3 linked regions of the Neodiprion lecontei genome follow. The protein of the gene in region 1 purifies or fractionates together with the protein of each later gene. This does not show direct contact. Links are inferred from orthologs where the notes say so. Each region holds a gene or a part of one and is shown on either strand. Other genes may lie near its edges. The genes, in order: exocyst complex component 5, exocyst complex component 8 and exocyst complex component 3.

Evidence for each region.
Region 2: the proteins of exocyst complex component 5 (region 1) and exocyst complex component 8 purify together in Homo sapiens (affinity purification with mass spectrometry; 5 studies listed by BioGRID and IntAct, counting the BioPlex papers as one, with this or other methods). This does not show direct contact. The link is inferred for Neodiprion lecontei from reciprocal best matches to the Homo sapiens genes EXOC5 and EXOC8.
Region 3: the proteins of exocyst complex component 5 (region 1) and exocyst complex component 3 purify together in Homo sapiens (affinity purification with mass spectrometry; 7 studies listed by BioGRID and IntAct, counting the BioPlex papers as one, with this or other methods). This does not show direct contact. The link is inferred for Neodiprion lecontei from reciprocal best matches to the Homo sapiens genes EXOC5 and EXOC3.

The regions. Positions count from the first base shown.
Region 1 is NC_060266.1:861,358-873,264, forward strand, and holds exocyst complex component 5, read right to left. Parts: upstream 7,323-11,907; 5' UTR 7,210-7,322; coding exon 7,177-7,209; intron 6,789-7,176; coding exon 6,342-6,788; intron 6,275-6,341; coding exon 5,697-6,274; intron 5,608-5,696; coding exon 5,119-5,607; intron 4,933-5,118; coding exon 4,425-4,932; intron 4,326-4,424; coding exon 4,227-4,325; 3' UTR 3,291-4,226; downstream 1-3,290. Other genes in the region: protein arginine N-methyltransferase 1, read left to right, coding at 1-12, 1,543-2,625; uncharacterized protein LOC107219467, read left to right, coding at 7,323-7,439, 7,837-7,989, 8,298-8,486, 8,716-8,907, 9,136-9,330, 9,449-9,643, 9,722-9,856, 9,932-10,048; uncharacterized protein LOC107219461, read left to right, coding at 10,929-10,969, 11,065-11,164, 11,441-11,593, 11,902-11,907. UniProt on the Homo sapiens protein: Component of the exocyst complex involved in the docking of exocytic vesicles with fusion sites on the plasma membrane.
Region 2 is NC_060263.1:37,098,040-37,109,239, reverse strand, and holds exocyst complex component 8, read right to left. Parts: upstream 7,293-11,200; 5' UTR 7,204-7,292; coding exon 7,152-7,203; intron 6,874-7,151; coding exon of another isoform or gene 6,855-6,873; coding exon 6,493-6,854; intron 6,180-6,492; coding exon 5,877-6,179; intron 5,756-5,876; coding exon 5,611-5,755; intron 5,528-5,610; coding exon 5,015-5,527; intron 4,918-5,014; coding exon 4,787-4,917; intron 4,686-4,786; coding exon 4,272-4,685; intron 4,201-4,271; coding exon 3,994-4,200; 3' UTR 3,918-3,993; downstream 1-3,917. Other genes in the region: protein brambleberry, read right to left, coding at 242-616; sperm-associated antigen 7 homolog, read left to right, coding at 1,577-1,655, 1,795-1,862, 1,948-2,036, 2,210-2,547, 2,646-2,776; transmembrane protein 98, read left to right, coding at 8,350-8,487, 8,846-8,955, 9,029-9,161, 9,264-9,535, 9,651-9,660; ATP-binding cassette sub-family F member 2, read right to left, coding at 10,981-11,124. UniProt on the Homo sapiens protein: Component of the exocyst complex involved in the docking of exocytic vesicles with fusion sites on the plasma membrane.
Region 3 is NC_060260.1:913,022-923,082, reverse strand, and holds exocyst complex component 3, read right to left. Parts: upstream 5,292-10,061; 5' UTR 5,187-5,291; coding exon 2,916-5,186; 3' UTR 2,879-2,915; downstream 1-2,878. Other genes in the region: vacuolar protein sorting-associated protein 72 homolog, read right to left, coding at 658-889, 987-1,223, 1,341-1,575, 1,667-1,849, 1,951-2,171, 2,280-2,413; deoxyribose-phosphate aldolase, read right to left, coding at 6,224-6,457, 6,520-6,896, 6,972-7,113, 7,172-7,359, 7,450-7,708; DDB1- and CUL4-associated factor 13, read left to right, coding at 5,543-5,612, 5,758-6,155, 8,514-8,682, 8,767-8,914, 8,999-9,299, 9,376-9,539, 9,670-9,757. UniProt on the Homo sapiens protein: Component of the exocyst complex involved in the docking of exocytic vesicles with fusion sites on the plasma membrane.

The sequences.
Region 1 (11,907 bases):
AGCGATCACACGGTGAGTTTGTAGTTTGATAAAGTAAAATCGAGCCGCGCGATATTCGCGACATTGTGCAAGGTCTACGGATATTCGTTCAAAGAATATTCCCTGAAATCGTGTTTCCGATGGTGCAATTTTGGTATAAGAAAATTCGGTTCGTCGTCATCGTCGTAGTTTCGTCGGACGGTAAAGCAGACTAAAACTATGCGCCGCCAAGTCGACCGATTTCACTACGCCGACTAAAATACAAAGAATGTACAAATGCCTGGCGCTCTTTTCGATATTACAGATTTTCCCAATCACGCCCCGAAAGCCGCACATCATAATGGCCGCAATTTTCACGCCTGACAATGCGGTAATTTAGACGCCATTTATTTTGGCGCGTGCACGTGGACGTTTTCACGAGTCGAACGCCGCCGTCACGGACGCAGGCTTTCATTTTGTTTCCACGATCATCGCGAGTTATACCGCGTCGCGCTGTAACCGGGCTAAATAGTTGGTCAATCAAACAGCCGACAACCTTTCGTAGATTAGTTTAACGCACATGAACTCTATCGTAAGTAAAATCGACACGTGTCCAAGAATATCCAAATTTTATCCGATATCTCACAAGCGCCGTAATTCAAACTTTACACGAAACAGTCGCGGCCACCGGCTTCTTAAGTTTTCTAACCAAACAACCTTCGCCTCGTGTTTTGTAAAATTTACCATCAGACCAGAATTCATACAGTTAAATTTTTTACGCATTTGAGTATTAGTGAATTATTTCTAAAATCGTTCGTTAACTAGTATTTTGCATTTTCATCTGTTTATCTAGCTTCGGGATTACGGCAGACCTGAAAAGAAAATTTGAATTTGTTCTGAGATCTGTAATGTTTAATGTATCGATATTCTTTCAATTCACATCTAAAATCATATACAGAGTGTATGTATTTTTGTTTGAAAAATGTATAGACGTTGGGGAATTTTGTCAATGTTGAAATTCGCAGTGCTGCTTTCTTTGCCCTTTGATTTTTTTCATTCTTTTAGTCTCAGCAACAACAACAATATCTTGATCTCGAGAGGCAATGTGTTCAATCTTATATTCTCTAACTTATCAAATTCTTCTTGCAATATTTCTCATGATTCAATTTTTTATTGTGATGCCTTTCACTTGCTTCTCGATATCATGCTTCTTACCACTAGTAACAACTTGCTGAGCCGAACAACTTTATTGCCGAGGTGCCCAGTCAAGTTGATGTATCTGATCTACTCTCAAATCGCCATGTTGAATCATTACATTGTTCCATTTTTGATTTAATCGAGAAACATATTTCTAAGATTACTATCAATCATTATACCCATCCTAAGTGGTATCCTAAAAAAGTCATTTGCGCATTTCGTCCAAAGAAAAAGTATCATAGATTATTTGAGATGTGTAATTTTAGATTCAAACCATATCTGCACAAAAACCTGCTACTATGCAATGGATTCTAAAGTGTACTTATTGTCGTGTATTAAAGGATTTACACCTGTTAATTATAAATAAATAAAATTTCTCATTTATAGACACTTAAGATGGAAACCATGGAAGTAGCTGAGCCAGTGGTGCCATTGGGAAAGGACGCAGCGACGCCAAATGACAAGGAGGCAGTGTCAGTGGACGATATGACCTCGCGAGACTACTACTTCGACTCGTATGCACACTTTGGGATTCATGAAGAGATGCTGAAGGATGAGATAAGGACAATGACGTACAGAAACAGTATGTACCACAACAAGCACCTGTTCAAGGGTAAAACGGTACTGGACATAGGCTGCGGCACAGGTATCCTGTCGATGTTCGCAGCCAAGGCAGGGGCGGCTCGCGTCATCGGCATTGAGTGCTCGAACATAGTCGAGTACGCAAAGAAGATCGTGGAGGCGAACCAGCTCTCGAATGTGATAACGATCCTGAAGGGAAAAGTGGAGGAAGTGACTCTGCCGGATGGTATTGAGAAGGTAGACATAATAATATCCGAATGGATGGGCTACTGCTTGTTCTACGAATCGATGCTGGACACGGTCCTGTTTGCCCGAGATAAGTGGCTGTGTGAAGACGGAATGCTGTTTCCGGACAAGGCGACACTTTTCATATGCGGCATCGAGGACCGCCAGTATAAGGACGAGAAGATAAACTGGTGGGACGACGTCTACGGATTTGACATGAGCAGTATCAGGAAAGTTGCGATAAGCGAGCCGCTGGTGGACGTTGTCGACCCAAAACAGGTTGTGACGAATGCTTGCCTGATAAAAGAGGTCGATCTGTACACGGTAACAAAGGCGGACCTGGATTTCACGTCGCCGTTCAATCTACAGGTGAGAAGGAACGACTACGTCCAGGCTCTGGTCACATTCTTCAACATAGAGTTTACCAAGTGCCACAAACGCATAGGATTCAGTACGGCGCCTGAGGCGCAGTACACGCACTGGAAACAGACTGTATTTTACTTTGACGATTACATGACTGTGAAAAAAGGGGAGGAAATATATGGAGTGTTCTCAATGAAGCCCAACGCGAGAAATAATCGAGACCTCGACTTCAGCATCGAACTTGACTTCAAGGGTGAATTGTGCGAGGTGCACGAAACTAATACGTACCGCATGCGCTGATTCACACTTGGCGTATAAAGAGAAAATACGAAAATTGATCTAGCTACTTCCGCATTCTCTATTAGATATTAAGTCCGCCTTTCGGCCAATTCTCGTGGCTCACTCAGCCGTGCCACTCTGGTCCGATAACGACAAAAATTACGACCTGACCCGAGCCGTGGGTCAAAAGGAGAAGCTTGGATGTTCGCGATAATCCGTTGTGGAAAAATGGGATTCCATTTTTATTTAGGAGAAATTAGAAGAAATAATAAAAATTAAAAAAAAAATTAAAAAATTACCATACTTTACATTGATCTTCCTTGAAGAGGGACAAATTAACCAAACATCACAAAGATGAATTTTCCTATACAATTAATACTAATCCCCTGTAAGTTATCTTAATTATAACATATTTGGCTCACAGGTTCTTACATCAAATATTCTTCTTTTTAGTTTTTTCTTGATTTTAACTCGCTTTTGTCAGACAAATGGTATTCTCGATTAATGGCAAGGATGTTTCTACCCGCAACAGCATCCTTTTGCCATGCTATTGTTTTTGTTCATACATTTTTTTTCCTAGTACCAATAAAATTACATATTTACTTGGAAGTATAGGAATTGAAATGTAGACTAACAATTCGGAGTTTTTGAAGCTCCTATTTTTAACATTATTTTTGTTGTTCGACTTCAATGACCGATGAAAAATAGTATATGCTCCGAATAGGTTATAATTCAAATCTAAGCGATAATGAAATATTAGCCAATATTTCAAAAACAATGACCAATTCACATCATCGAACGTGGAAGTAAATGATTTATCGACACAGGGACTAGGCTATCGATTATTGTTCTATTATTGATTTCGATTCACATAATAATTGTAACAACGGAGAATCTTCTTTGTCTGAATTGATAATTCTAGTCAGGTAAAATCGGTTTTCTACTAGGTTGCTAACTAGACCAGGTAATTGTCAAACCAGCAGGCAAACGTATTTCTAATCATGCCGACAGACTGCCAAGTCACAGTGCAGCTGTATATATTATACTATGTATAATTTTTATAAGGAATCATTACTGTTTGTTAGATTGATGTGAAAACGGAAAACGGAACACGAAAAACAAACTTCTTTCCCCACTCTCATCCCATTTCTTTGAGTCCCATAATATGCCAGGGTTCCATTGCAACGTGATTATATAATTATGTATGTAACAATAAAATTAATACATTTGCTATGAATATCGCGAATTTTCGTTATTTCTTTGCCCTTTGATTGTTTGTTTCAAGTGACTGAAGAAAAAATGAAGGGAAAATTATATTCGAAATGAAATTGTGTCTCAATATACACTGAGCTTTAGTTATTTACAGTTTGTTTCCTACACAACTTTCCGCTTGGAAAGGTATATATATATAATTATATATATATATACACATACTATAATACATATATGTATATATATAATAATATATATGTATTAAATATTACGATTATTATTTACAAAATATTATCGTTATACCTCAATCGTTTTCGTATTCCTCTTAAAACCAAGATCGAGATGATCAGTCGTTCTTTGCGCAAGCTGTGAAAACTGATTGATCGCTTCTCTCTGTTGAATTCTACCATCTAGGCAGCAAGGCCTTTCAAACAATTTGCCAACTTCTGAGTCTTGTAGTCTGTCCTGAGCTGTATAAAATTTATCAATATGGACCTGTCGAGCATGGCCTGCAAAAAAAATAGGATTTGCAGTTCGATATGATATTACAAACATCACCGATGCTTTTATAGAAGCCAGAAATCGATGTGTCGTAACTTAAAACTTACCAATTGATCCCCAGTGCAGACCTGCTTCAAATTCTCAGGCTTGACGAGGAGCAAATTGCAGAGAGCGTGCAATGTGTCAAAGAGATTCGTGACTAGGCTGACTTTGAGATTTTTAGCACACTCTCTGTAAGCATTCATGTCACAAATGGCGCACATTGCGCCGGCAGAATTGAACTGAAACTGCTGCAAGTGTTCATATATCACCCTGTGGAATCTGACCCCCAATTCTGTGAGAACACTTTCGACGTTCTTTTCGTCCAGTCTGTCTCTTATGTGAGTTATCATCGTCGAAACGTATTGAACCACAACTAAACAGGCAGGGGTGTTCAACGTATCGACGTCCGATTCCGGCTTGAAGTCTGTCTTGCGCTGCTCATTCTGCAAGTAAATTTTCACCCAGCCAACTATCGCGTTTATACTTCGGTCCAAACCCGTGTCCAGTTTCAATTCCAGCTGCTCCAAGACGGCTTTCTTCTTCGCCAGGCAATCCCCATGCTTTGACGTTGATCTATGAGACGTGAGATGATTAGTACGGGGTCATTTCTTTAGAATAATTTAAACGTAAGATATTTCAACTGCTAACGAGAATTCCTTGTAAGTCAGAACCAATGTAAACTTTTCTGTACATCAGGTATCCAGGTTTTCAAAAAAGTATTAATGACGGATCTCTATTTGAAATGAAACAATTGCATACATGACTAGCGGTACGAGGCTGTCGTTGAATTGCTTTTCGAGCAGATGAATGATGGCGTTGCACCGTCTGACTACGTTGAAGAAGTGGATTTCAGGTTGACATCCGCTCTCAGGTATGGGGACACTTTGGAGTCCCAATTCCAGAGCATAGTCAACGTGTTCGCTGGTGAGATACTGTAGCAGGATTTCTAGTATCTGCAGAGCGTTTACAGGTAAGTCGCTTGATTGTGAGAGGATCTGGCACCGTTGAAAAGCCAGTTTGCTCTCCTGGAGTAGAGCGATGGCCAACTCCTCGGAGAGGAAGGTCTCACCGCCGTAATCTTCAATCTGGGCTATATTGATGTTCGTTCTAGTGCCGATTACGGCTTGCAAGTCTCTCCTCAGCTCCTGGAAGCCCCCGGTTTGCAGTTGCTTTTTCTGGTGATTCTTAGACTCGTAGTACTTGATCAACAGGGATGCAGACTTCTCACGGAGAGACTTGGTCTCGATACTGAAATCAAGGAAATATAATTCTTTGTTGGTCTACCGCCAATGAAGCGCAAAAACAGGACACGGAGTGGGCGGCTGAGCCTGTGTTACCTTATGTAGGAATCGAGATGTTTCTGAAAGATATTCCTGGTGAGTTTGGCGAGGTAAGCCTCGTCTGTTCCCATATCAAACCGCTTCAGATCGTTGGATAGTTTGATCGTCTTTGAGTAGAGGTCATAAAGATTCTTCAGATACTTGTCGGAGTCCGTACGATCGGTAAGCTTCGCCACAACGTATTTTTGCAGCCTGAGATGGTAAATGTTGAGGACAAATTTGGCCATAACTTGAGTCGGGTTAGCGAATACCTGCTGCATCAGTTTGTAGTTCTTGGTGCACATCGGTATGACATCCTGAAAAACATCCTTGCCGCCGAACGAACCCATTTGGCTGTGCTCGATGAACGCGTCGACACACTGCGAATAGCCCTTGAAGTGAGACAGGATCGAGGCCAGCTCCTTCATCCGTGTGGCGTCTTCTCCGCTGTGAGCCCTGGCAAACTCCTCTATCAAGCTCCGCTCAATCTCGTCGTACTTAGCGCTGATCTTCTTTTTGGCGCCGTCAAACTTGTCGGATGGAAGCTCTTGTGCTATCAAATGTAGTTTTTGTATCACGTCCGCTGCCTCGTCAAGCTGGGAAATCAGAAGCAATCGATAATGAAAAGTTAAACGACTCCGGAAAGCCTCGTTTTCTACGCACCGACGATTTGTCGGTGAAAACTGGGTCCGTTAAAGGCCCGGGACTCAGAAACTCTGCAAAGTGTCTCATCAACTTTTGGGCTTCGACGGCGCGTGCTCTCGGAGTGTTGACGCTCTCGAGCTGGTCACCCAGGTGCAGCACCTTCGTGGCGACAAAGTTGATTCTCTCGTCAAGCTGATGGAACAACTTCATGGCGTATTTGTTCTTCTCCTGGAGTTCGAGGATCTCTAGCGCGTGCCTAATCTCCTCCTCCTTGCATGCCGCCTCCAGCCTGTCGCATTTTTTCTGTTGTCGCTCCTGTAGCACCCTCAAATCCTTAATTGCCTGCAGAAACGTCTCGTGGACCAGCACTGGATCAAAGGAGCTCTTGTCTCCACCGTCTTTAAACGTGTCATTAACAGTTCTCCAAGCCAGGCGCTCCACAAATTCCTCGGAATCGAACGGCTCCTGAAATAGAAAGTGGAAAGAATGGAGAATGTTTTATTTATTTATTTATTTATAGTCGACAGGTATAAACCCTTTTCTACATGAGATTAACAAGAATCATTGCACGGTTTGCAAGTGTGAAGTAGGCATAGTTAGTGAAATTACTATTTATGGAGAATAAGTTTCTAGACAGAGTAGAGAGAAAGTATAAACTGGAATTATACAGGAATATTGAAATCTGGTAATACGTTCGAATGGAGAACTGACGTACTAGTAAAAAAATTTGTTAAAAATCATCTAACGCATCTGAGTGTTATATTTTTTTACTAGGTTATGATGGTTTGAATTTTTGATATCCCTTCGGGAATTCGACGAGAAATTCAGTTTTCACATGGGAATTAGTACTTGCCTGCTCCAGCTCCTTCATGTATTGTTGCATCATCTTTTCGTTGTTTTTGCCGAATGTGTTGACGATAATATCGGCGTCATCAAACTGCTAAGCGATCTGTCGCCTTGCGTGGGGCGTGTTGATAGCACGAAGTAAGAGGTTGACAGATGCTTGATTCGATCATGATTCGATTAATTCAGAAATTGGGGAAGGGCTCGATTCTACAGAAACCAGTTCTACCAATCGTATACCGTGAAGCGCGAAGAAAAGATTCAAATTTGAAAGTAAGAAAAAAGAAACAAGACGCCGCATGAATTGTAACATTAATGAAGGATTACCAAAACACGTGTATAAGTGTTGAAATAATTCTTCTGAATGAAACAAATTAAATCCACCCAATGAGCAATTTATAAAACTGGCGTTCTTGTAGGGAAAAAAGCTGAGTTTGCTGCTGCCCTTGTACAAAGTTAAAAAATTGCTAAAATTGTTTATATTTTGTTGATTAGGAACTTGATATTATACCTAGAAAGCAAAAATTTGATGTAGTACGGTAGATTGGTAATCAATTACTTTTGATCAGCTGAAGTCGAAGCATTGAATGGAAAATTAAAATCACCCCAACTTCCATCTCTCTCTAAATTATAATCTCCGTTTGGAACTCTGTGGCCGGACCTGTTACAGGTACTTTGGATGTTGCGAATTCGAGCGTGTATGTTTTTGTGTTCGCTCTTGGGTCCAAAGGACGTGTCACCTTGTGTGTGTATCGCGGATGACCCGAGAGACAAATCGGGTCTAAAGAGGATTAGCGAGCAGTTTAACCGCAAACGCCTAAAGGTAAGGTCTAGCGATAGTAATCCTTCGCAGATAACGTGTTAGCATTGTCGTTAGGTTTATGGTTGTTATAATTTATTTGCTTGACTAAAATGCTATCGTGTGTACCAGCCAGATAAAGTCGTGCGGTAATATTCCTTCATAGTTGACATGTTAATATTGTTGTTGAGTTTATTGTTATTATAATTTATTTCATTTTGTTTCGATCCAATAAAATTCCTCCAATCTTTAACAGACCTGAAATTGACCCAAAGATATGGTGGAAACTATGTGCACGACATGCGATATTACAATCCAATACCTAATTACAGATGGCTTCTGCAAAACAAAAAGTACAAAGTATCAGCGCGCAAGATGACGCAGCCGCCGAAATTGATGAGCATTCGAAAGAAGCAAAAGAAGCTCCCGAAGCTGGCAGCAGTAAAGTTGACGGAGCTGGTAAGTCGCCTGAACAAAATCTTCAACAACTGGACACCAACATAACCACTCCGATTGAGAAGGTGAGCCAACACGAATTCGCAACTTTGATCACTGTTCTTAAATTAGATTTAAATTAACAAGCAAACATATTAATATTGTGGTTGAGTTAATTGTTATTATAATTTATTACCTGTTTCGTTTTTGTTCCAACGAAATTCTCTAAAGTCTAACAGACCTAAAATTGACTGAAGGATATGGTGGAAACTATGTGCACGACATGCGATATTACAATCTAATACCTAATTACAGATAACTTCTGCAAAACAAAAAGAACAAAGTATCAGCGAGCAAGATTACGTAACCGTCGAAATGGATGAGTATTGGAATGAAGCAATGAAGGAAGCTCTTGAAGCTAGCAGCAGTAAAGTTGACGGAGCTGGTAAGTCGCCTGAACAAAATCTTCAACAACTGGACACCAACATAACCACTCCGATTGAGAAGGTGAGCCAACACGAATTCGCAACTTTGATCGCTGTTCTTAAATTAGATTTAAATTAACAAGCAAACATATTAATATTGTGGTTGAGTTAATTGTTATTACAATTTATTACCTGTTTCGTTTTGTTCCAACGAAATTCTCTAAAGTCTAACAGACCTAAAATTGACTGAAGGATATGGTGGAAACTATGTGCACGACATGCGATATTACAATCTAATACCTAATTACAGATAACTTCTGCAAAACAAAAAGAACAAAGTATCAGCGAGCAAGATGACGTAACCGTCGAAATGGATGATTATTGGAATGAAGAAATGAAGGAAGCTCTCGAAGCTAGCAGCAGTAAAGTTGACGGATTTGGTAGGCCTGCTACAGAAGAAATGTGTCAAAGAATGGACAGCAGAATGATCACTCTGACTGAGCAGGTGAGCCAACACGAATTTGCAATTATGATCGCTGTTCTTAAATTACATTCAAATTAAAATGTAGATTAATGCACATATTTTACTGCTATATTTTATTTATTTATTTATTAATTTCTAGCTCAAGCTAATCGAAGGGCAGATTGGGAAGCTGAATGTTCAAGATCCAAAATGTCGAAATAGAAAACCAATAGCAATACCTGAGCCTCCATCTCCTGATACCTTGACGGGTAAACCGTTACTTGCTGAGTTAATGAAAAGTATTGGTCAACTCACTGTAGAACGTGATATTCTTCAAGTAAAGCTTCGTATCATGGTGATTTAACTTTCTGACTGAATAACATCAGCCCCCTATAAGAACATTGTATATTTTACTTCGTTTTCTTCCGTCTAGGCTTCAGAAATCAAAGTGCACAATCCAAAATCGCGAGTAAGAAAGAAGGCCCAAGTTGCGATGACCGATGTAACCTCAGCATTTGACCTAGCGAAAAATGAACTACGTTTATTGGAAGAAGAGGCCGCCAATCTTGTGAGTTAATTTAGAATAATTATTTACTACTGGGACAAAGAAGCAGAGTATGTGAGAACAATTCTTTCATTACAGATCGAACCGTTCGATAAATTGACGGATGATGTAGAAGAATTCCGTTTCATAAGGAAATTAAGAGAGCAATTGGAGAGTGACGAATTGGTCCTTTTTAGGCATACAGGGAAAGAATGACGTGTGGCTTAAATTGCAGAGCGGATTAAAATAATCAGATTAAACTTTATATTATGTAACCATTTTTATGCGTAAATAAATAAATAAACGAACAAATGCAACACTATCAAGCTCTGTTCAATCAGACTAGTACCTTGCAGTAAGAACTTCACAATGCGCAGGTAAATTTGACTAACTTGAACCGTGAAACGTCATTGAATTGGAAATTGAACGTGGAAATTTAGGATCGGATCCAAGATTTAATGAGGGAAAATCAACAATTGATCGGCGAATCGAATGCTGGGAAGATGATGAATGAATCACAGTTCAAAATCACGGAACGTTGTACAGTCCGTTATTGCAAACTTTTGAACGGTAATATGTAAAGCTGTAAATACCTTTTCTACGTCGTTTACAGCATTCCGATAAATTTAACGGAGCCAAACAAAGAAAATATCGGTAAGCCAAATGTGCAGGCTATGTTGGGGGGGGGGGGAATAAAAAAAAGTTCAGAGTCCCAAGAATGAAAAAGTTGTGGAAAAAAAAATCAGAAACCAACTTGAGGATTGATTGAATTGCTGGTATAAGAAACGAAACGGACATATACGTATAATACGCGTGAAATCATTGTTTCAGATCAATTGGCCAGCTAAAATCTGCATATTTAAAGATTACATAATTTCATTGAATTTTCATTGTATTCACAGAGGGCAAAAGTGTCGTAACTAGAAATGGTAATGTCTACAAAGGATGAGGTGTTTGAAGCAAAGCTTTATCATGAATTGAATTGATGCGACGAGGAATTTATAAAACTGGCGTTCTTATAGGGAAAAAAGCTGAGTTTGCTGCTGCCGTTGTAAGAAGTTAAAGAATTGCTAAAATCGTTTGTATTTTGTTAATTATGAACTTGGTATTACACCCAGGAAGTAAAAATTTTTTGCAGTAAGGCAGATTGATAATCAATTACTTATGATCAGCTGAAGTCGAAGCATTAATTGGAAGATTAAAATCACGCCAACTTCAAATCTCTGATTTAGAAAGGGAACTGATTCCGTGAAAACTATTAGCAAAGATGTTGGAAAAGTGAATTGCCAGCTTCAATCCAGCTTCTACTCTTCAGAGGCTAAGTATTCTAAAGTAAGTGAAGTAAGTTTGCGAGGCTATACGGGCTCTCGTTATTACTCGTTTATGGAGTAAAATTAGATCCTCTTTAACGGAAGTTTTTATGTTCCGAGACAAGAAAAGTACGACTTTGATTTAGAGACTGCTGAACTAAGGTAGAAATTAAATGATAAACATACCGAGTTAACTGACATTGAATAAGAATTAAAAGAAAAAACCGCCTTCATGTCCTTGGATGAACTCAGAGATTTATAATCTTCGTTTGGAACTCTGTGGCCGGACCTGTTACAGGTACTTTGGATGTTGCGAATTCGAGCGTGTATGTTTTTGTGTTCGCTCTTGGGTCCAAAGGACGTGTCACCTTGTGCGTGTATCGCGGATGACCCGAGAGACAAATCGGGTCTAAAGAGGCTTAGCGAGCAGTTTAACCGCAAACGCCTAAAGGTAAGGTCTAGCGATAGTAATCCTTCGCAGATAACGTGTTAGCATTGTCGTTAGGTTTATGGTTGTTATAATTTATTTGCTTGGTTAAAATTCTATCGCGTGTACCAACCAGATAAAGTCGAGCGGTAATATTCCTTCATAGTTGACATGTTAATATTGTTGTTGAGTTTATTGTTATTATAATTTATTTCATTTTGTTTCGATCCAATAAAATTCCTCCAATCTTTAACAGACCTGAAATCGACCCAAAGATATGGTGGAAACTATGTACACGACATGCGATATTACAATCCAATACCTCATTACAGATGGCT
Region 2 (11,200 bases), on another chromosome or scaffold:
TCCTTGAATTGTTTCATTATTATGGAAGATAATTTCTTTTACATTTCTGAACACGTTTTTCTTCTTCTTTTTTTTTTTTGTGCGGAGGCAGAATCGAATTGCTAGACACACTTGCTTGAAATTCAAAAAAATACAAATGCCGTAACAGTTTGCATGAACGAAATCATTCAATTTTATAATTTCTAAGAAAATCATAATCTATTGAAATTCTTATTGCTCAAAATAAATTAAATCATATTACCATTTCCTCGGTGCACGGAAACAATTTTCTCCCTTCGGCAGCAGACTGACAATTCAATAAGCTGACGCTCATTTTAGCAAGTTCTTCCTCAGTCATGTCACTGCATGACGTTTTTATTTTCATGACGACTTTGTGCTGACAAGTATCCAGCGCTGAGGAAACTTGAATTTCTGAAAACTTTGCTGCCTCCTGGAGAAACTTTTCATCTTCCGTCATGGATTCATAAGGGATGGAAACCAAGGGAATGCCATCCGATGGCACGACATCATTTGATTCCTCGGAATTTTTACTCCAGACCCAATCATATATCGAAGCATTTCCATCTTGGTACGTCAAGACGGTAAAAAGTACAACAAAGAAACACGACTGTCTCATTTTTAAATAAAAATATACAAATCTGGTATCAGAGGTTTAAAGAAAAACGTTGTTCAACTGTATCTTCAGAATTTGTTTACAGTTGGCTAGAAATTGCCAAAGTGTGGAATGAACTTTTACGAAACTTTGACAACTTATAACCTATGCACTGAAATTATCACAAGCGTCAAGTTCCCGGATAGATAAGACTGCGGATAGGTCAACTGTCACTTAAAATAAATATGCAAATATATAAATAAATAAATAAATAAACATACACCTGTATACTTTTTACAGAATCAGTGAACGCCTTAAAGATTGAAGTAATAAGATAAAGTGTGCTAAACGGACGTTACGTTTCGGAGTCTCGTCACATTCGTGTGACGGTCAATTGACAATGTATAATTACTTCCCGAATAACGAGAAAATGAGGTATTTTTATTTAGTGCCAAGAACTTACAGAATTGAGTAACATTTCTCACTCAGTGACTAAAATAGAAGCACCTATTTGTTCGAGACAAAATATTGAGCACACACGCCGATCACCACTTATTGTTTAAAGTAAAGTAACAGTAGATTAACGTCGCCTAATCCGTTGATTATTGGCATTTAAACTTGAATAATTAATTCGATTACGCGACGAAAACCAACGATCAACGTTCACGCGAACGTGACGATGTTTGTTCTTGTTGCTCTTTCTATCTCAGCCTTTTAAACTAAATTCAAACTGAAACTTCAACGGACATCTGATCGACCAGAACGCCATCAGTTAGCGAAATTAAAAACTGCCTGTAACGGATAATTTTTTACACTACCTTACCGACAGATTCCGACTTTGCTTTGCTTGACTTTGCGCTTGGCATTGCGCTTATGATAAGAAGAGTGCGTGACTATTACATACATTCTTCGTATCGAACAGACAAGATTAATAAATTAATAGTTAACACCGTGATTTCGGAATTGATTGATTAATTGAGAACCATGGATCTGCTTGGCTCAATTTTAAATTCAATGGATAAGCCACCGAGTGTGAGCGATAAGCAGAAAGCATTGATGAAAAGTCAGTTTCGTACATAACCCTCCTTTCTGCAAATTTTTTTTTTTTCACTCTTCAAACAAGTTACGATAACGATTAAACAATTACCACGTATAATAAGTGTACCATTTATTTAATGAAATCAATTTTACACATTTTATAGAGCAACGAGAAGAAATTGAGAAACGTCAAATAGTGGAAGCGGAAAAACTGAAGGTGTTTAGAGAAAAGGTATGACGAATGATCCTGAGTGATACAATTACGATATTCCAAAAAACACTTGACCATGATTGTAGATATTTTACTCTGTTTGTAGGTTGAAGAAAAGATAAATAAATTTCTGCAAAATGGTGCGGCTCGAGAATGTAAATTTCAACCTATGGAACAGGTCTACAGAAGCATTATGTAAATAATTTAATTTATTTCGCGCCCCAATCATTATATGTATTACACTTTGAGTAACCAAGACCACTTTTACTCTCTCAATTCAATCTTTTTTTCAAGTCTGAAAATTGTTTCCACCAAAAAATATGAAAAGCTAGAAATTAACTCTATATTGAGAAACCGTTGTTTTTCAGACACGATGTTGCAGAAGTCGCCAATGTATTAGCATATTCTTTTGGGATGGAGGGAGTCGATAGATATATAATAATATTTAAAAGGGAATATGCTCCAACCGAAGACCACTTAAATGCATTGCGTAGAGGAGAAGAATGGAATGAGGAAATAGCCAAGAGATTAAACGAGGAAAGAGAAAGACAAGCTAAAGAAGATGAGGAAGCAAACAAATCTAGGAAGAGAAAACAAGAATTTGTACCGATAACCAATTATAAAGACAAGTATAAGCATCTGATTGGAGAAGAAGCTGCCTTACAAGCAGCCAGAAAAACTGAAACTAATCGTAGTTATGGATTTGGTAAAAATTTATTCAACTATTCAAGTTACTTTGCCCAGCATCATGCTCGTGGTTCACCAACGAAAATTTTTCTTATACCACCTCGATTCTTTTTTCAGTCCCAAGTGAAAACAAAAAAGATCAGCGAAGTATTGAGGAAACTCTAGCAGATATTCGTGCGAAAAAGAAGAAGACTGAAGAACCAGCAAATCAAGCATTGGAACCAGAAGAAGAAAATGTCCCTGAATGATGTGAGCTTAGTTGAATAATTATGTTGTAGAGTGAAATTAATTGCACTGCTAAACTGTAAATAGGTAATAAGTATTTTTCTGTTCTAATATAATTAGTTATCGTACATTAGATGAATCACAATCATTCATTGGCATTGAAATACTACGGATAAACTACAGAGCTTTATTCCGTTTCTTTCAAGATGCCACATGTGATTAATCAAGTCCCGATTGCAAAGTAACCTGTGCACCAATTTTGTACAGAGATCGTCATTATCTTCTGACAATGATATTATTAATCTACATGTAGCTTGTTATTTAAACATAACACATATTAATTTATTACCTGAATCCTAAATATATTTATATGGGATGCATTCTATATTAATTTTCAATTCAATTTAACACGTGTTATGTTTAAATAAAAAATTCAATGTAGATTAATAATATGATTTACCAATTTTGTACAGAGATAGCATTATCTTCTGCGAATGATATTATTAATGTACGTTGAATTTGTTATTTAAACATAACACATGGTAAGTTATTAGCTGAATCCGAAATATATTTACATGGAATGCGCTCCATATTTATTTTAAATTCAACTTAATACGTGTTTATCGGACAAACTTTAGTACTATGCTTTAATCGATACGAAACAATATTCATTCAGCGTTAACAATTGAAAAAAGATGAGTTAGGTAATGCTGTATTAGTTTTAAATTTGTAGAATTAGTATGCGATTCAAAAAGTGCTCTAGTTATATAGAATACATGAAATAGGAGAAATGTCAGCGACAGACTGATTAGTGAATAAGAATAATTTCGTTAATTATTCATGTCCGAGAGTATGTTCTTTATTGCATAAGTTCCTTCACACGTACATGTATTGTTACTCCATAAATTCGAATATTACTAAAGTTTGCAAAAAATATGTCGTCAAGACTTTTTATACCAATTTTTCTCGTTATCCATTTGTATCTCTGGAAGTACTGATAATGCGATATAATAATAGTTCAATTTCTCGTTTCTTTCTGATAAATATAATTAGAAGAAAAACATCTTGTAGAAATGGTAGATGCGTTTTTAGCGTCGTGAAACTATTCATTACACATACAAGCATACAATACTTACCAAGACAAATAATTACAATCATTCAATATTATTAGGCGTTTTAAATTTTTATTTTACATATATATTAATATAAAATTTGACATACCTTACAAGTGAAAAATGAGTCATATATATTCTGTAGTCGAGTACTTTGTAACTGCTGTTCTTGGCGCAGGTCTAGGCTTCGTTGCGGCAACAGGTTCGAAGACAATTTGATCTTTCAACGTGACTAGTTTTGTAAATGGTCTTGCTGTCGCACTTTGGTAAAGTTCAAGTCCTCTACCAATTACAATGTCTCTGATATAAACTGCATTATCTTCCACCACTTTTCTCTGTAACAGTAAATCATATTGATTAGACATTCGTGATCAATCCTCAAGTAGTGACGATCACTAATTATTACCTCTTGTTTAAATTTTGGATTACTTAGAGATGCCAAAAGGTGTTGTACTTGAGCTCGCATTACAGATACAAGAACACTGTCTATGGTTATCATCAATTCTGGTGTATTAACGCTAAGACAATCCTCAAGTAATCCAACGTACAGTCTTGAGAATGCCAGTGTATTACTTGTCAGTGATAACCATGTTTCACTTGTCATGTAAGACAATGGAACACCAATTCCGAGATCTTCAAGCTCTGTCATAAGCTTCTGGAGGTTTTGGCTAGACTGATTGGACGGGCGCCAAGTATCCTCAGCTGCCCGAACCTTAATCGCGTCAACGTACTTTTCGCCAGCATCTTGCAGAGCTCTAGCCAATGGAGTTCTGAGATGGCCATCCAATTGGTAGCGAAGATCTATACCCAGCTGCGTCAGCTACATATGAAGTTATTGATAAGAACAAACGACTTCTGTATTCAATTTCAATAGTATATTACTGTAATTAAACGCTTAACAATTGCTGTGACCATAATTACCTGATCGCAGTGGCTCCTTACAGCCACAATGCATTCTGCAAGCGTGTTCGTAGAAACTTGTGGTATGAAAACTTGTTTAATCAAATGTGACGTTAAATGGTTGACCTCTTGACCACACCAGACTACCAGAGCTGTAAAAGATGTGATTAGAGGTTAGCTTCATTGAATTCTTCAACATACGTGATGTACTGGACAGGTTTAAATGTGATCTAGTGTATTTTACCTTACCAGAAGTGCAATTCGCAGAATTTGGGAAAATACGTAAAAACTCTCTAGCCATTTCAGCCACGTTGCTAAAGGCGATGGCGCTCAGCTGTTTGACGTAAGGTATTGTGGGGCCTTCTCTTTTAACTCGTTTCAATTGAGCTTTCAGTGCAGCATTACATAATCTTAAAAACAGTTGACAAGCTTGGACACTTTGATCCAACTGAATTAATAATCTTACAGCTCTTCTCGCACTCCTCAGGCCTCCCCCTTGAAGTGACTTTGCTTCAGAACTCAATTCCAATTCTTTGGTAAGAACGTCGACCAGAGACTGTGCTCTATCGTCAACTTTAGCCTTGATACCAACTAATACAGGCGTTGTTTGAGCTTCGCTCAGATAAGATCTTGCTTTCTCTAACAAATTGTAAGCTTCTTCAAAATGACGTTGTGCTATACAAGAATCTAGGTCCTCGGCAACTTCTAACAACCATTCGGGTAGAGATTCGGTACCCTCTGCTTCTGGACTATCTTCCGTGCCTGGTTACAATTACGATCATTAATTTTTACGTAATATCCTTACATACCGCCTAAAATGCGAAACTCTACTTACTGAAACTTACCTATTGTGTTTGAATCTAGAGACATTGAGCGAGATGGTGCTATGTGTTCATCTTTTAGATTTCTATCCTTATCAACTGATTTAGTTTGATCTTCTTGCACTAGTCTTGCTTTTTTAGCTTGTTCACATTTATCCAACCATTCTTTCTGCAAAAACGTACAAAGCATGAAAATATATTCCAAAATCTTGGAGAGTTTAATATATTCGTGTTTCAACTACAAAGTTACTATCGGACTGCGTAATAGGAAAAATAGGTCTGCTAATAACCTTGCTTGTTGCTGTCGCACACTGAAAGACCCTCGTATCAGGAAAAGCCAAGAGTTTGAAGGCTAATTTGACAGTTCCCAGATCTCTAACATTGACAACGGCTAAACTCTGCAAATCATAAACAGCTTGCATTTTATATCTGGGTGGGCCACGCCTTCCACCAGTGGCTAACCATGAGGCGATCATTAGAACGTCGTTGAATAAATAGGCGTGAATCCTTTTCAGGGGTGTTCCTTCCAATGGGTCAAGTTCAAGCAGAGATCCTTCGTGTAAACAAATCCGACCTGGTGTCTCTACCAAGCTCTGTAATAAGAAAGGTTTCAGATATCACAAGTGAAATGTTTCAGCTTAGATTTGAGTCTCTAGATTTTTTCTGATACCAAACTTCCATCAAAAATAGATACTACTAAAAATCAGCTATCAGAAAATGCGTTTCATCCAATAATATACCATAAGTTGTGGATGTAAGAAAGTGGTGAATAATCTGTCTTACATAGAAATTGTGATACAATCTTACCAAATTGATTGAAATATAGCTGACAAAATAATTCGTTTTGCATCTAATATAATAATGAACAATGATTTAATAAATTTTTTATTTTAATTTGAAACTGACCATGGCACCTTCAACATTCTCCAGTAGTTGAATCAGTTTCGATTTTTGTTCCTCTTCTTTGGTACCAGCATTATGAGATTCCCCATTTTGAGTTTCTATGTTCTCATCAAAAACAACCCCAGTCGCACCGATAGCACCAAGAGTTCCCAAAAGTGAGCGTTGTTCTCCCAGTAATTGTGACAACTGATACATTTCGCTTTCCAAGTGAGATATTTCCTTGGCTGTTTCGATAAACTGCATATAATTTTGGTAAACATTTTTTTTCAATTGTGCCGACGTGCTGTCAGCGAGTATTTGAATCTTTGCCCTCTGCTGTCTCAGCTCGTCCACGCCGACGCACTGACTGCTCAACTCTTTGACAACTGTAATAGATGAAATAAACTACACGTGAGTAGTAGAATTGATAATCGTATATTATGTAAATGCACTAAATTCTGTTAATTAACAGCACAGCAAATGAGGACCTTATTTTTAGATTCAAGTAATTTGTTAAATACGGCGGAAAGTTTTTAAATAAATAACGTATTGTATTGGTTCACTTATTGAATAGAGCATTGTTCGCATCGTTTCATTTCATGATTCTATCTCATTTGAGAACATAACCTGTATTAGCATATAAGAATATTGCTTAAAATCTATTCAAAAGTAGAAGAACTTACATTTTTCTGGATTAAAGTCATCGGAACCGAGATTTTTCATCAGGTCAGTCATGTTTGCGTGTATTCAGTATTACCTTTGATTAAATACTATAATCCGACAGACGTAAGGCTCGTCACGCCTCCCATGACGACATGACAGTTGCAATTTTATGTGCTTCTCGCTTTTGAAAGGAAGGAATTTTATTCAGTGGGATTATCAAGAAATCTTTTGACAACTACGCTACGTGTATGATAAATGTGGAATTTATTTGAAACTGAATTAAACAATCCATGAACTCGAGGTATGTACCACACTGCTTCACGAATTCCGAATGCGAGAGTTTTTAGGGATGAGTTAGGCGACATCTAATAATAAGGGGGGGGGGGGGGGGACATACAAAACCGATAGTGTCGCACTCTATCCGAAAATTTAACGGACATATCAACTGAAATACAATCTTCATATTGACTTGTCAAATATTTTAGAAAAGTTCTTTTGTTATGATGTTTGTATAATTTTTACCGAAGCCACGTCATTTCAGGGCAAATTTTCGGATCTAAGGAATGACTGCTGCCTCATGAAATCGCGAATGATCTGTTTCTGTCAAAAATATTGTAACAAGTAGTTCACTCAATTAGTACCGTACATGTATTCGTGTTTCTGACAAATCGTGCCCAACTGCACAGACGCTGGTATGTCGTACCTCTAAATTCGTATAACGAATAAATATAGAATTTATCCAGCTTGATGCAATGAATCTGATGCAGCAAACGTGTAACGATTAACAGCACTCCTTAATCCATCCGTGTGATTGACCATACACGACTTGCACGCCTAGATGCACACAATTGCATGAAAGCTATTGACAATCAGTGAGATATTCACACACGTTGAAATCACATATGACCAGTTGAAAGTAGTATGTGTGTACAGTACAAAGCCCGTGACAGTCTCTGCCTCCCACTGAAACCAAGGATGCGTATACAAATGAACAACTGTTGAAAATTAATTAAGAGGTGGCAAGTGGTGTGGCTAATTCGCGTCTTAGTTTGTTCTTTTTTTTTACAAGTACAAGTCTGTTAGTTATTTAGTTGTCCTAATCTCATGACACATTGTATTTTACTCACGCAACAAGTGGCTTGCAGCCTTACAGAGACGGCTACAAAGGCTTATTAGTAATTGGATATTACCCTGGCTTGAAGAGCTCGTAACAACAACATGAGTTCTTCGGTACCGGTTGGGAGCATGGCTGGTATGGAGACGGTTGTTGCAGTCGCCCTTGGTGCTCTTGCTGCTGTTTTTCTTGGCGCGCTTCTCGTTTTGTTAGTCATTTGTAGAAGACAACGATGCTATCATGTAAGTTTGCCATTTATACAACTTTATATACTTAGGTAAATAGCTCAGTGGTCGTAGCCTGTATTATTTTGTATCCTTATTTATAAAACGAAATTATTCACTTACTTCCAAGCTATTTGTAACGTTATACCAATGGCCTTCCAGTAGAAAAATTGAACCATTTCTGTTCATGCTCTGTACAGTTTCGATATACTTGGATGCCACATATTGCATTGCATCCTTTATTTGAATATTATTACCGATAAGCAAGATACCGCTTTCATAGCTTTCTTGGATTAGTTTCATCATCAAAGTCTTCAGCTTTGTAGGTGATCACAAAATATATTTTTTGATAACGAAACTGATGTAATATTTTCAGAAACAGAAGGATTCCCATGATTTGAATTCAGATTTGTTGGAAAGCGAAAATGGTGGAGCTCTGAGTTTGGATGCTTGGGAGGGCGAAGAATGGCTGGTTAATGCTGAGAGGTGAAACTCAGCTTTTGATAATTGGATGAATTAGACTTAGTCCTGAAGTATAATTATCTTTGATCATTTAAAGGTGGGTTGACGATGCGACTGGTTTGGCTCCACCGTGTATAGCAGTGCTAAGATCATGCCATTCCCTGGCAGCGAGTTTGACCAAAATTGCTGGAACAGTAAACAGCAACACAGTACCTCTTGAAATTGTAGACGTAAGTTGAAACCAAAGAAAAAGATAAAAAAATTTCAAACCTATACACACATATGCATAATAATTTAGATTAAAATTCAAGCTCACTATTACTCCAATTTAGGTTGCCAGACGCATACCACCAAGGGTTGATGATGTTGTACGTAGCCTCTACCCACCCCTAGATGCTCGTTTACTGGAAGCAAGAGTAGCAGCTCTAGTTTTAGCAGTCACCAACTTGGCCCTCGTTACGAAACATGGAATACCGAAAAGTCAGGCAAGGAAGTTGGCATTTATCGATCAGGCCCTCAGTGACATGGATTTACATCTCTTAGTTTTACGGGAAGCCGCACTGGCACAGGAAGCAGCTTGTGCCATCCCAGCGTCTACCTCAGTGTAAGCTTCCATAAATGTTGATCAGCAAGAGCGAGAAATTTTGTCTTGACATGGGGAATTTTTCTACCTTTAAAATGCAAGTATGGAGGGTCAAATCCTCTTGTTTATTTCACAGATTAAAATGATAACTAAAACTATGAATTCCGTTTCGTGATATTTACAGTTGATATATCAAAGCTGTGAGTCACCATTCAATTTTTGAAGCGGCATAGTTTTATCGTATGATTCGCTGCCCTCTTACACCAAGACAATATGTTTCATTTGTATATGTATTCCAAGTAATATGATTAACTTCCAAAACCTCAAAGTATTTTCAATTTTTGAAACTCCTGTTCATTGTTGATGTTTTATGAAGATATTTTGTGGTTTTTAGATTATAAAATAGACTATATTTATGTATGTCATATATTTATATAAATGCGCAATCAAATTTTTATACGATTTTACTACAATATATATATGGTGCGTTTATACGAACAATTTACGAAAGAAACTTGACAGATCTACAAAGAGAATTCTTTTTCTACTTGACCTTTGTAAATATGTTACTTTTTATCTATTCAAATGATTCTGTCAAGCTACACGACGTTTCGTGAATGATATTCGCCCAAGAAGTTTCAAGTATTGGAATCTGTAGTTAACCGAATCAACCTGATTCATTAAAAATAATCTAATATCATTTCGAGCCCGGAAATTTATCTCGCAAACACGTGGTAGATAATTTCAACTCAGCCATCAGTGCCACAGATTATAACAATATTGGAACGAAATCTATTATACGTCAATAAAAGAGTGGCTCACTATGGCTGACTAATGCATTGTTATTACTTATATATCTATATTGCTACATTGTACATCATTTTGAAGTTTGAGATATTTCTATTTAAATATGCACCTAATACTGGAATAAACCAGTATATGTTGCGGCGCAATGATTCTATTTTTGTTAATACATGCATATCAAGAAACAAGCCATACATTTACACTTGTATTCACAGATATATTTTGTATTTACTAATCCACATCAAACGACGAGTAAACAACGTAATATTTTTGAAAAAAATTTAAAAAATTCCATCTAATGTATAAAATTTGTTACTGCAATGTTAAACGAATGAAAAAGGATATTGTGAGTTTTTACTAATTACCATATTCTTTCAAGTATTTTATTAATATTCAATAATTAGATTCAAATTACAATCTCTGAGACCATAGGGATTTAATCCCAAAGGGCAACGGTTTCTGTTAATTAATCAATTAGGTCATTGTAATTAGTTATTACTGATTTATCGTTTTAAATAAATTAGCTAAGATAGCTCAAGCCATCTTCGTGCTACACAGCAGCACCAATTTAAGATGGCAGGCAAGTTTATTTTTCGGTAAAATTTCTATATAATTGGGGGTGCAATATAAAAGGAATAAAATGGTTTTCAGAATAACATCAATTATTTGCCTCTATTAGCAAATTCTTTTTGATTTTTCTGATTATCCTTCAACACCTTGGTCTTCAAGTGTTCTTTGTAATTTAAGATGCCACCTTGCCATTTTGTTACCGTCCCATTTTCACACACCCAAATTTCTTCCGCTACCTGTTGAAATAAAAAAAAAAAATAATAAAATGAGATATAATCGGAGAACCTGATTATAACAAACTATTTAATTGTC
Region 3 (10,061 bases), on another chromosome or scaffold:
GCTTTAGAAGAAATGAAGGAAAAAAATCTTGAGAAAGAAAAAATTAAAAAATTAAACACACTGTTATGAAAACCTTATGATATGCGTAATTTACTAACCTTATTATTAATTACAATTACATACCTAATTTTTTTTTTCTACACATTTAATTTTATTCATATTGAAATAAAGACGTCTCTTTCGTTGTATCAAATAGAAAACGTCTTAGTGCTGATTGTGGTTTCCTGATTAAATCCATGTAGGTAAATGATAAATTTGCATTTTAGCAATAAAGAATATGAAAACAAAAAAACTTTAACTTATTCTACTAGTTAATGTGAAGTGGCAAAGCTTTATTAAAAAAAAAGAAAAAAAAAAAAAACAATAAAAACCATTGAAACTCGTTCCGTTCGTTTAAAAAATAGATATTTTTTAATCCAATCCCAATTCTTAAAATCCCTCGAAGGAAGTCATCTACCCAACAGAGTAGAAGCAATTTCCATATTTTCGAAAGGGAAAGTGGTGTAAATTGCTTCGATTTTTTCGATTTTCATTCTCATTTTCGTATGAAAATACTGAAGCAGGCATTTGATAAAATAATTATCCAGTGTCATGTCAAATGATGTGACAAAAGACTGTTCAATGCTACAAGGAATAGCGATTGACCAGAAGGATCAGCTAAGATGCCTGCGACACTGAAGCGGGTTCCAGACGAATCGTATTTCTGTTATTATTGCGACGATTTTTCTGACGCCATTCAAGCCACCGTACCAATTCAAGGTTTTGAGTAGCATCGTTTGTCTCTGCACGAGATTCCAGCTGTTGATAATACGCCTCTCTTAATATTCTAAACATTTGTATATTTCTGTACGGTAGCTGTGTCACTGGATCCATATACCGTGCAGGAAGTCTAAAATCATTCAGAAAATATAGTGTATTAGTACCTGATTATTTCAAAGTAATCACCTTCAGGAGTAATACATCAATGTCGAAAGGCCGTAACTTACCTTGTAATTGCACAAAGAGATTTTAGTGAGGGGCGAGGAGCAGGTGTACGTTTGAAAGCTTCCGTAAAAAGTCGTTCGTTTTCAAATGTGATGAAAGTTCTTTCGTATTTAGAACCTGTATCTTCATGAATGATTTGACTTTCAGCTTCATTAGGAGCTGAGCTCGATTCTCCCTTCTGTTTAATAGGTGTATCTTTGTTACCGCCGTCAATAGTTTTTTGTTGATCCATTATTTCTCTGAAAAATAATTTTGAAAGTAGTTAGAACTACGGCAGTTATGGACGTTTTTGTTTTTTATTGCGGTCTGCATATTGCAAAAGGCTTTACACAAATAACGACCAATTTAAGTCTCACTGTTTTTCAGACAAGGGAGGTGATAATCCAGGTTCTAGAATATCACTGGTTGTATTAGTGGTATTTTTTTCATCGTCAGCTTCGACGTTAATTTTTTCCTCATCTTTGTCAGCTTGTGTTTCAGACAGCATCAAAACAGGCATAGACAAAGATTGGTAACGTATAATGGGGCCAACATTTGTCTTTCGCACTGTCCTCGTGTTTTTCTTCTCGTTCTCTAACTTTTGGTATTTTTCTGTCAAAACATGTTAAAAGTATGAGTTGAATAACCATCCATCGGCACAGACAATCATGTCTTTTTACTTGCCAGCAGTATTATTCATTACCTAATGATTTTAAATTTACTTCCTCCGTGATGAGGGCTTCCTCCAACAGTTCTTCCTGCGTTGGCTTCCAAACGTCGTACTTTACAGTCTTAACTTTTCTCTTCAGATCCTCATTTCTCTCTTTGAGTCGTCTTTGGGTCGCTGCCGACTTTGCAGCAGTAGAACGACGAATGGATTTTCTCTCTTTAAAACGAAACGGGGATAGTAGTTTGGCATGAGGCTATAAATACTGCTGATCGAATGGCTATGATCACGTTTATCGCCATTGATATTTCCTGATATACCTGAATTGTCAATAGAAGTTCGACGTTGCCTGGGTGTCTTAGTCTTTTTCTCTTTAGGAGTAGAATGTGAGTGTGCTGAGGTAGGTTTAGGCTCTTTGTATGCCTTTGTAACAAGGCGTCGTTTTTTTTTGGGTCCTTCTTGTTCGGGATCGGAAACAGGCTCGTCATTTTCGTCTATACTAAAATCTGAGTCCACTTCATCCTCGCCTTCGTCCTCTTCCCTGAGTATTCAACAACATTACAATGAAGTATTATTCTGTGAGTGAAATACTAATTTTATGGAAATATTAAACAGAATGTTTGTCAATTGAAATTCTCATCTAACTAACATGTAATCGTTATCCTGCTCGACTTCTTCGAACCCTCCGTATGTAGTTTTATAGAAATCATCCTCTTCTTCTTCGTTGAGTAATCTTGCCATTTTATTCCCAGCATTGGAACGTCTCTCTCTCGTCGATGCCATCGTAGAGAAATGTTTTTTGACAGCACGATTGATTCAATAGTTCACTTTCTTATTAATTATTGTTCATTCGAGGAGAAGATCTTTGATTCAGTGATGCCTGTGAGGCTCAAGCCACTATTGACGTGGGTTTTTGAGGTTAGATCACACTTTCGTGTTCTCGCCAAACGCGTGGCTGTGCGCAACTGTCAGACGACTGTTTTTTTTTCAAACTGAAAAACAACGAACCTTCTATATTCGAGTGTAATTTTTTTTTCAGAATAGAATTAAGACGTTTCGAATTGTGACGTCAGCTACAAATGATAACACGTTTGATTGAAGAAAATTTTGCCGACATTGCTGAATGTATACTTATTGGCTGAACATGCAGAGCACAATTTCTGACAGAAATGCCCGTACAGCTAGCTCTGTGGAGTGGGATATAGAAGTGAACCGAAAAACCTTTCCCATTTTTAATAACTAGACAAATTTCTATACAAGACGAAAAATTATTTATTTACAGTACTCAGGGTTTCCAATTTAAGAAACTATCCTGGATGACAATTTGCTTAAATATACTATTAGGCATGGGCTGTGGAGCTGTTCGATTACGTTGAGCTTCGTATATGTACGCTACTTTTTCCCTAGCTGTAGCTCTCGGTATGTCTCCTCGGAGACTCAACAATCGTACGAGATGATCTTCGGTCATGTCAGGGTATTTTTCAACGAGTGAATGTAGATCCAAAGATAAAATTTCAGAATCCTCGCAACGCAGTACTTCGGCCAGTCTTTTTATTACTTCGAAAGGCGAATCAAAGTTGCCCACTTTGGGTGCAATTCTGACGAAAAAATTCTTTATCTTATCAGCCTCTGTCATAATTTTTGATGTGCAAGTGAGACATTCGTCGTACGTCTTTAGCGATATCTTTCGCTGCAGCATAGCTGCTATATATCGTTTAGCTATCAGATTTTGAGCCTCTGTAATGACATATTCAAAATTCTTTACTCTAAGGTGATTATAGTCCTGAAAATAGTCCTCCAAGGTTACGCAGATCGTTTCTACGGGTATCGGCGAGGAGAGCCATTTTGGGGTGAGGAGATCTTGGAAGTGGAGTTCCAAGTCTAGGAACGACTCCTCCAATAAAATGGTCGCCGCCTCATCTCTCAGCTGTTGGTAATTGGCCAGGAGAGCCTCAAACCTGACAGCAGCATCACCGCTGGCATTGGAAACCCAGTAAAGTTGTTTCATTTGCTGAGCGAGTTCAATAAACTGAAGGCAATTGTTTACAATGGTGATCATGTGGTGAGTGAAGTAAGGAACTCTGCTCCGATCCTCGAAATGTTTGCTTTTGAACTCAAGTATGGCCTGACGATACGCCGCACAGTATCTCACAACTTGGTCTATACAAAGGACAAGCGCTCTGGCAGTTAGTTGATTGCTGATCGTTTTCGTTACTTGGAGATTCTGATCCACCATTTGAAATATGATTACCGGTGCTGCCGTGTGGTAATAGGTTTCTTGCGTACTACCTTCTGGCAGTACTCCGCTCCACCAGTCAACCTTTTCAGTTTCCAATGTCTTCTTCATCCATTCTTCATAGTTCTGTTGCATGTTCTTCAAGTATTGATCCTGCAGTTCCTCCAGGACCTCGTTGCTCAGCAAAGGTCCTATATCACTGGTGTCGATGTTCAGCTCCGGGTGTTGCATTAGTTCTACACCTGTATAAGTGTTCATTATCCAGGCAAGCAGAGATACGTATTCGTTACCCTCTAGGCCATTTGCTATTATGTCTTTCAAGTGTTGAGATAGACTGTTATGGTACATCTCTACAAACTTCCTGACTATGTTGTAAGAGGGTGGGAAGCAAGGTCCGCACAGTGTTTTTACCACCCTTAGGTCCTCGAGGATGAGGAGACGTGCCAATTCCAGATACCTTGCCAGCCACATTTTATTGTCTGCTCGTTCATCTACATGAGTTCCCTCGACTCTGTTGGCCACAGATTTCTCCAATACTTCAATTGCCATCTTTTTCCAATTCTTCGGTCTTCCCGGAGGCATGAATCCGCTCTGCTTATGCCTTTGAATTGCAAACTGATCCGCCTTCTCTTCCCGTTCAATTATCCTCAGCGCCGTAACAATGATGGTTGGTTCTTTTCTGACAGTGTTTAAAGTGCGACCAACAACCAATTTAATTTGCTTTTCCATTAACTGCGACAAAGTTTCTACATCTTCAAAGTACGCTTTCAGCATGACTTTATCGGCGAGTGATTGATTGGGCAGCTTGTGCAGTTCGTACAGCAAGTCGTCCCTCGAATTCTCCAAATCCATCAAACTCTGATGGGCGTGTAAAAGTTTTCCTTCGTTTATCCATTGCTTCGTCTTCTCAACGCTTTCTGGAACAGTGAATATGTGTTTCAGGTTCTCTTTAGCGGTGACGTACTGCGAGTGTCGCATGTTCTCATCTTGAACAGCCTGCAGAGTGTTGTTCAGCTCAGGAGCGGAGCCAAATGACTCGCCGATCAGGTCCAGTTCTTGTTTAATCAAGGAGATACTTTCCAGCGACTCTTGAAGCTGATTGAAACCGACTCTCACCCCGTCCAATTGACTTTGCATCGCAGTTTTCAACTTCGTTTCAATCGAAGCTTTTTTCCGACTGATCCTACGCTTGTAATGTTCTACTTTTTCCAGCTGACCAGGACGCTGGAGCATATTTATTATGTGTTTCGTCGCTGTTGCCTTAGCTTCCTCTTCAGATTTTCGAAGGTCCAGCATTTTTTCTCCGCTCTCGTTCGTCATTATTATTTTTAAACCTCAATCACTCTGTTTGTTGATAGTAAGCGTTTGACAGCCGTCAGTTTTTGAGGTTATAACACAGCTGACGCCCCCATGAGCCCCCATCTACACACCAGAGCCATGTTGCATTTAATTTTCTTGATCGGCGAAGTTTTTAGCTAATAAAGCGATATCATTAGTGTGTTCCGTTAGATCCGACCAATCCTAGGTTACTTCATTTTCAAACATAGTTCATACAGATTCATACACATGGCACAGTAGCCCTTAGATTTCATAGTGCGTTTTTCTCACATGTTTTGTAATTATCAATCGACTTACATATTGGATAATTTACGACAGAGGGCTGGTCCTGTACCAAAATGAAAGTCAAGGTGCTCTGCAGAAATCCCGATGAATATCTGAGAGAAACCAAACGAGATATTCATAAAGGTATTGCACGTATTTCTACCTAGTTTTTCTAACCTATAAACCGTATTGTGTACACTGGATTTGCAGCGAAACCGACAAAAAAGAAAATTAATCTTTTTTCTTTCATTTTTTATACATATTTACTAAAATACTTGATTTCTTCTAGTTCCCAGAAACTACGATCCATCCCTGCATCCGTTTGAGGCTGCGAGAGAGTATACAAGGGCTTTAAATGCAGTCAAGCTAGAGAGAGTATTCGCCAAGCCATTCATAGGGAGTTTGGATGGCCACAAAGACAGTGTGTCTTGTCTTTCCAAGCACCCTCTAAAGTTATCGATGCTTTTGAGCGGAGCATTTGATGGAGAGATTAAAGTGTGGAATTTATCGCAACGCGTATGCGAGCGCTCGTTTCTGGCTCACGACGGTATAGTTCGAGGTATTGCATTTTCATCGGATGGGGAAAGCTTTCTGAGTATCGGCGATGACAAAACTATAAAGACCTGGAAGGCAGAAAGTTCAATAACGGGAGAACAGGAGGATCCTATTAACACCATTGTTAGTAAGGTGAGTTCGTATCTGTAAAATCCTCTTAAATTATTAAACAAAATTAACGCAAGTTTTTGAAGATACTTTTATTTGTCTGAATCATCAAAGTTCTCATGCTCGTATAAAGTAGGTACTTTAGCCTCTTTAACTTCATCCAAAGACCTATTAATCTCGCTAGTGATGTCACCTAGCACACTCGAAGCGCCGATTCTGAACAGGCTATTATGGAGCCATACATCGCTCAGTTCTTCCTTGATCAATACCAGCCACTGCAGCGCTTCTCCCCAAGTTTTTATACCTCCAGCTGGTTTAAATCCGACCTGAAAATACGCAAGTGTTACCAAAAGTATTTCGAACGAAATTACTAACTTATTGCCCGTACCTTGTAACCAGTCAAGTTATGGTAGTCCCGAATAGCTCTGCACATGACAATCCCAACAGGTAAGGTAGCATTTACCGTTTCTTTTCCGGTAGAAGTTTTTATAAAATCTGATCCAGCCATCGCTGCGATTATTGATGCTCTATACACATCTTTGAGGTCAAAAAGTTCACCAGTTGCTAAAATAGTCTTCATTTTTGCTTTTCCACAGGCTTGCTTCATTAATTTAATCTCATTGTATAGTTTTTCCCACTGATGAGTTAACGCTAGCGTTCGATTTATGACAATATCTATTTCTGTAGCTCCGTTCGAAACTGCGAGCGAAATTTCATCCATCCGGGTTTGCAACGGATATTGACCGCTTGGGAATCCGGTAGCAACTATGCACATCATTGGACATTTGTAAACTCATCGTTGTTGTTTTTATGTGAAATTTTGAGTCAGACATTTCTTACCGCTAGCCACGTTGACTTTTCCCGTGGCATTAAGGTTTTTCAATGTTTGCACAACATCGGCGACACGCGCAGGATATACACAAACTGCTGCAGTAGACAGAGAGCCTTCCCATTCAAATGGTAATACGATAGGCTTAACAGCCTGAAAATATTGAAATTGTTAGATCACATCCATCCAAACAGTCTGCATTTAATGTCACCTTCTTAGTGAGTCTTTCAACACTTGCAAAAGTGTCATCACCACCCAGTGTCGTCAGATCTATGCATGTTACTGCTTTGATCAGCCATGCTACACGGTTGCATTCGGTAATACTATTCGCCTTTTCAATGATATATCTAACTCTGGTATTTATGGCTGGTACATTTAAATTGATGCGCTTGATCAAGGCTGGAATAGTAAAAAGTTATTAGCTTACTTCAATTTTTACTACTTTGAACAAGTTTCACACCCAGAAAGGAATACAGTTGAATCTCTTACAAGCATCAAATGGTCTGCCAAGGTTCTTTTCTACCATCTTGATGGAGTTGAGTAATTTTAAGATAGAAGAGTAACGGTGCTTGGTAAAGAACTTGGAAAACTGTCTTATCAAAATTAGTGAACTAGAACCACTGTCTTCTACACAGATGCGGGCACTTCTATCAACTCCGATCTTTTTGCCATAGAGCGCGGCGTAACCGTGTTGATAACGCTGCAATTTCGGTAGCCGGAGTGTGCAGGGTGTGCAACAAAGAGGCATATATAAAAGCCAGCCTCCCCCTCACCGGCGCCACCTGGCACATTTTTAGGTCACGGTTTTAGCATCGACATAAAGAATGGACTGCGAGAGCGGGCCAAAAACGTGTCCGCCGAATGGAAAGAGACGGACAGCAGTACGGGCCTATTCGTGTTCTTGTTTCAGCTACGCGGTGGGATATTCAATCAATAGCGGTCTTGGAAAGAGACAGCGATTAACACTGCAATGCTTTATCTCGCTTGCACAGCGGCGGACATATTCTGTGCATTGCTCAGGCAGGGAACGCGCGGTCCATTCTGTATGCCGATGAGTTTTAGAGACTGAGTGCTCAGAATTTTGTAGAAGACCGTGACCTGAACGGACCTGCTATTTATGGAAGGTTATCTGTCAATAGGGGTCTTCACTGGGACCCTCGCGTAGTTGAGGCCACAGTTACTTGTTTTACAGAGGCTGAAAAATTGAGTTATAAAACTTTACTTTTCATAATTAAATAACACTTACTTTAATGAATTTATTTGTCAAGTAGCTCATTTCTCTTCGTAATAGACAGTTTTAAGCATGGGTCAATTGTGGAAAACAAATATATTTTGATTATTGCACAGATATACTGTCGCGAAAATTATTTGACAGTTTTGGCACAAATATATTATTTGATTTTACGCTCGCAAAAAAAATACTAGAACATTGGCGCTATCTACACCGAGTTTGACGAGTATGGAGTTTAGGCGGGATATTCAAACGCAAGTTATGGTGTTGGTAAATAAAAAGAGCTGCTAAATCAACTTGGTGTTTTACTGTCAAATTGCAGACTGTCCTAACGGGCTTGAGTCATCATCGAAAAGACCCTGTGTTTGCAACCTGTGGCGAGGTATGTCAAATCTGGGAAGAGACCAGAAATGAACCTGTGCGGACTTTGAAGTGGGGTGTGGACAGTTTACACGATGTTAAATTCAATCCTATCCAAACGAACTTGTTAGGTAAATGACGTATGATTGTATCCTATTTTTATACTAAGATCTGGGCATATTTATAGTATAATCTCATTATATTTATTATTGCAGTTGCCTGTGCCAGCGACAGAAGCACAATTTTATATGATACGAGGGAATCTGGTCCACTGCGAAAAGTAGTCATGAAGCTAAGAAACAATAAGATATCGTGGAATCCGATGGAGGCTTTTGTTTTTACCTGCGCCAGCGAGGATTATAAGTAAAACTCATTTTTTACATAAAATTTCGAGGCTATAAATCGGGGCATCCCAGTTTTTACAATTTAATTTTTTTTCTCGCTCAGCCTCTACACGTTTGATACGCGAAAATTGAAGTCTCCTGTGAACGTGCACATGGATCACGTTGGTGCAGTTGTAGATGTAGATTACGCCCCGACGGGTAAGGAATTTGTCTCTGGAGGATATGATAAATCGATCCGAATTTTCGATGTGGCTAAAGGTCATTCGCGAGACGTTTATCACACTAAACGTATGCAAAGGCTTACTTGTGTCGGGTGGTCACTAGACGACAAGTACATTTTGTGTGGTAGTGACGAGATGAACATCAGAATTTGGAAGTCTAGGGCTTCCGAAAAGCTTGGAGTGGTTAGTCTTTTTTCTACGTTTTCCTCTCTAGCGTTACTTGCGCTGATTGTTTAATTTTGCACTTTGCGTTCACCAGTTGAAACCAAGAGAGAAAGCAGCCCTCAATTACAGCGCAGCTTTGAAAGACAAGTTTGCCAGTCATCCGCAAGTTCGGAAAATCGCTCGTAAAAGACACGTACCCAAGCACATATATAACGCTCAGGCTGAGCTTCGTACAGTGCGAGAGAAAGTTAAGCGGAAGTAAGTATTTGGCAGTAGTTATTTGTTTTTCAAAAAATGAGATTATAGAGAAAATCGTCAGTTTTTGATATCGCGGATATTATTGCCTCGTTTTGAACGTAAATTAAAGATTTTTGATTTATTTTTCCAGGGAAAGCAACAGACGGGCTCACTCTAAACCGGGCGCAGTGCCATTCGTGTCTGAAAGATCAAGACATGTTGTTCGTGAAGATGAATAAATATGAAAACTATAGTTAATAAAGATTATTTTCTCTCCAATAAATCTACGAAAATTTATCAATACGAAGCGTTTTCACCCGATCGTTTTGCAGCGATACGAGTTTTACTGTGGAATCGTGTGAAAGGATTTTAAAGTCATCTAGATGGACATGTTTCCTCGTTTCTTGCTTGAAATCTTTTGCCGCAGTTTATTCATTTATTTGTAATAAATAATTTTATTGTTCCATCATACAACGAATTTATATAATTATTATTATCCTTACAGTATGACGAACCCCAAGCAATGGTTAACTTTGTTCGTTC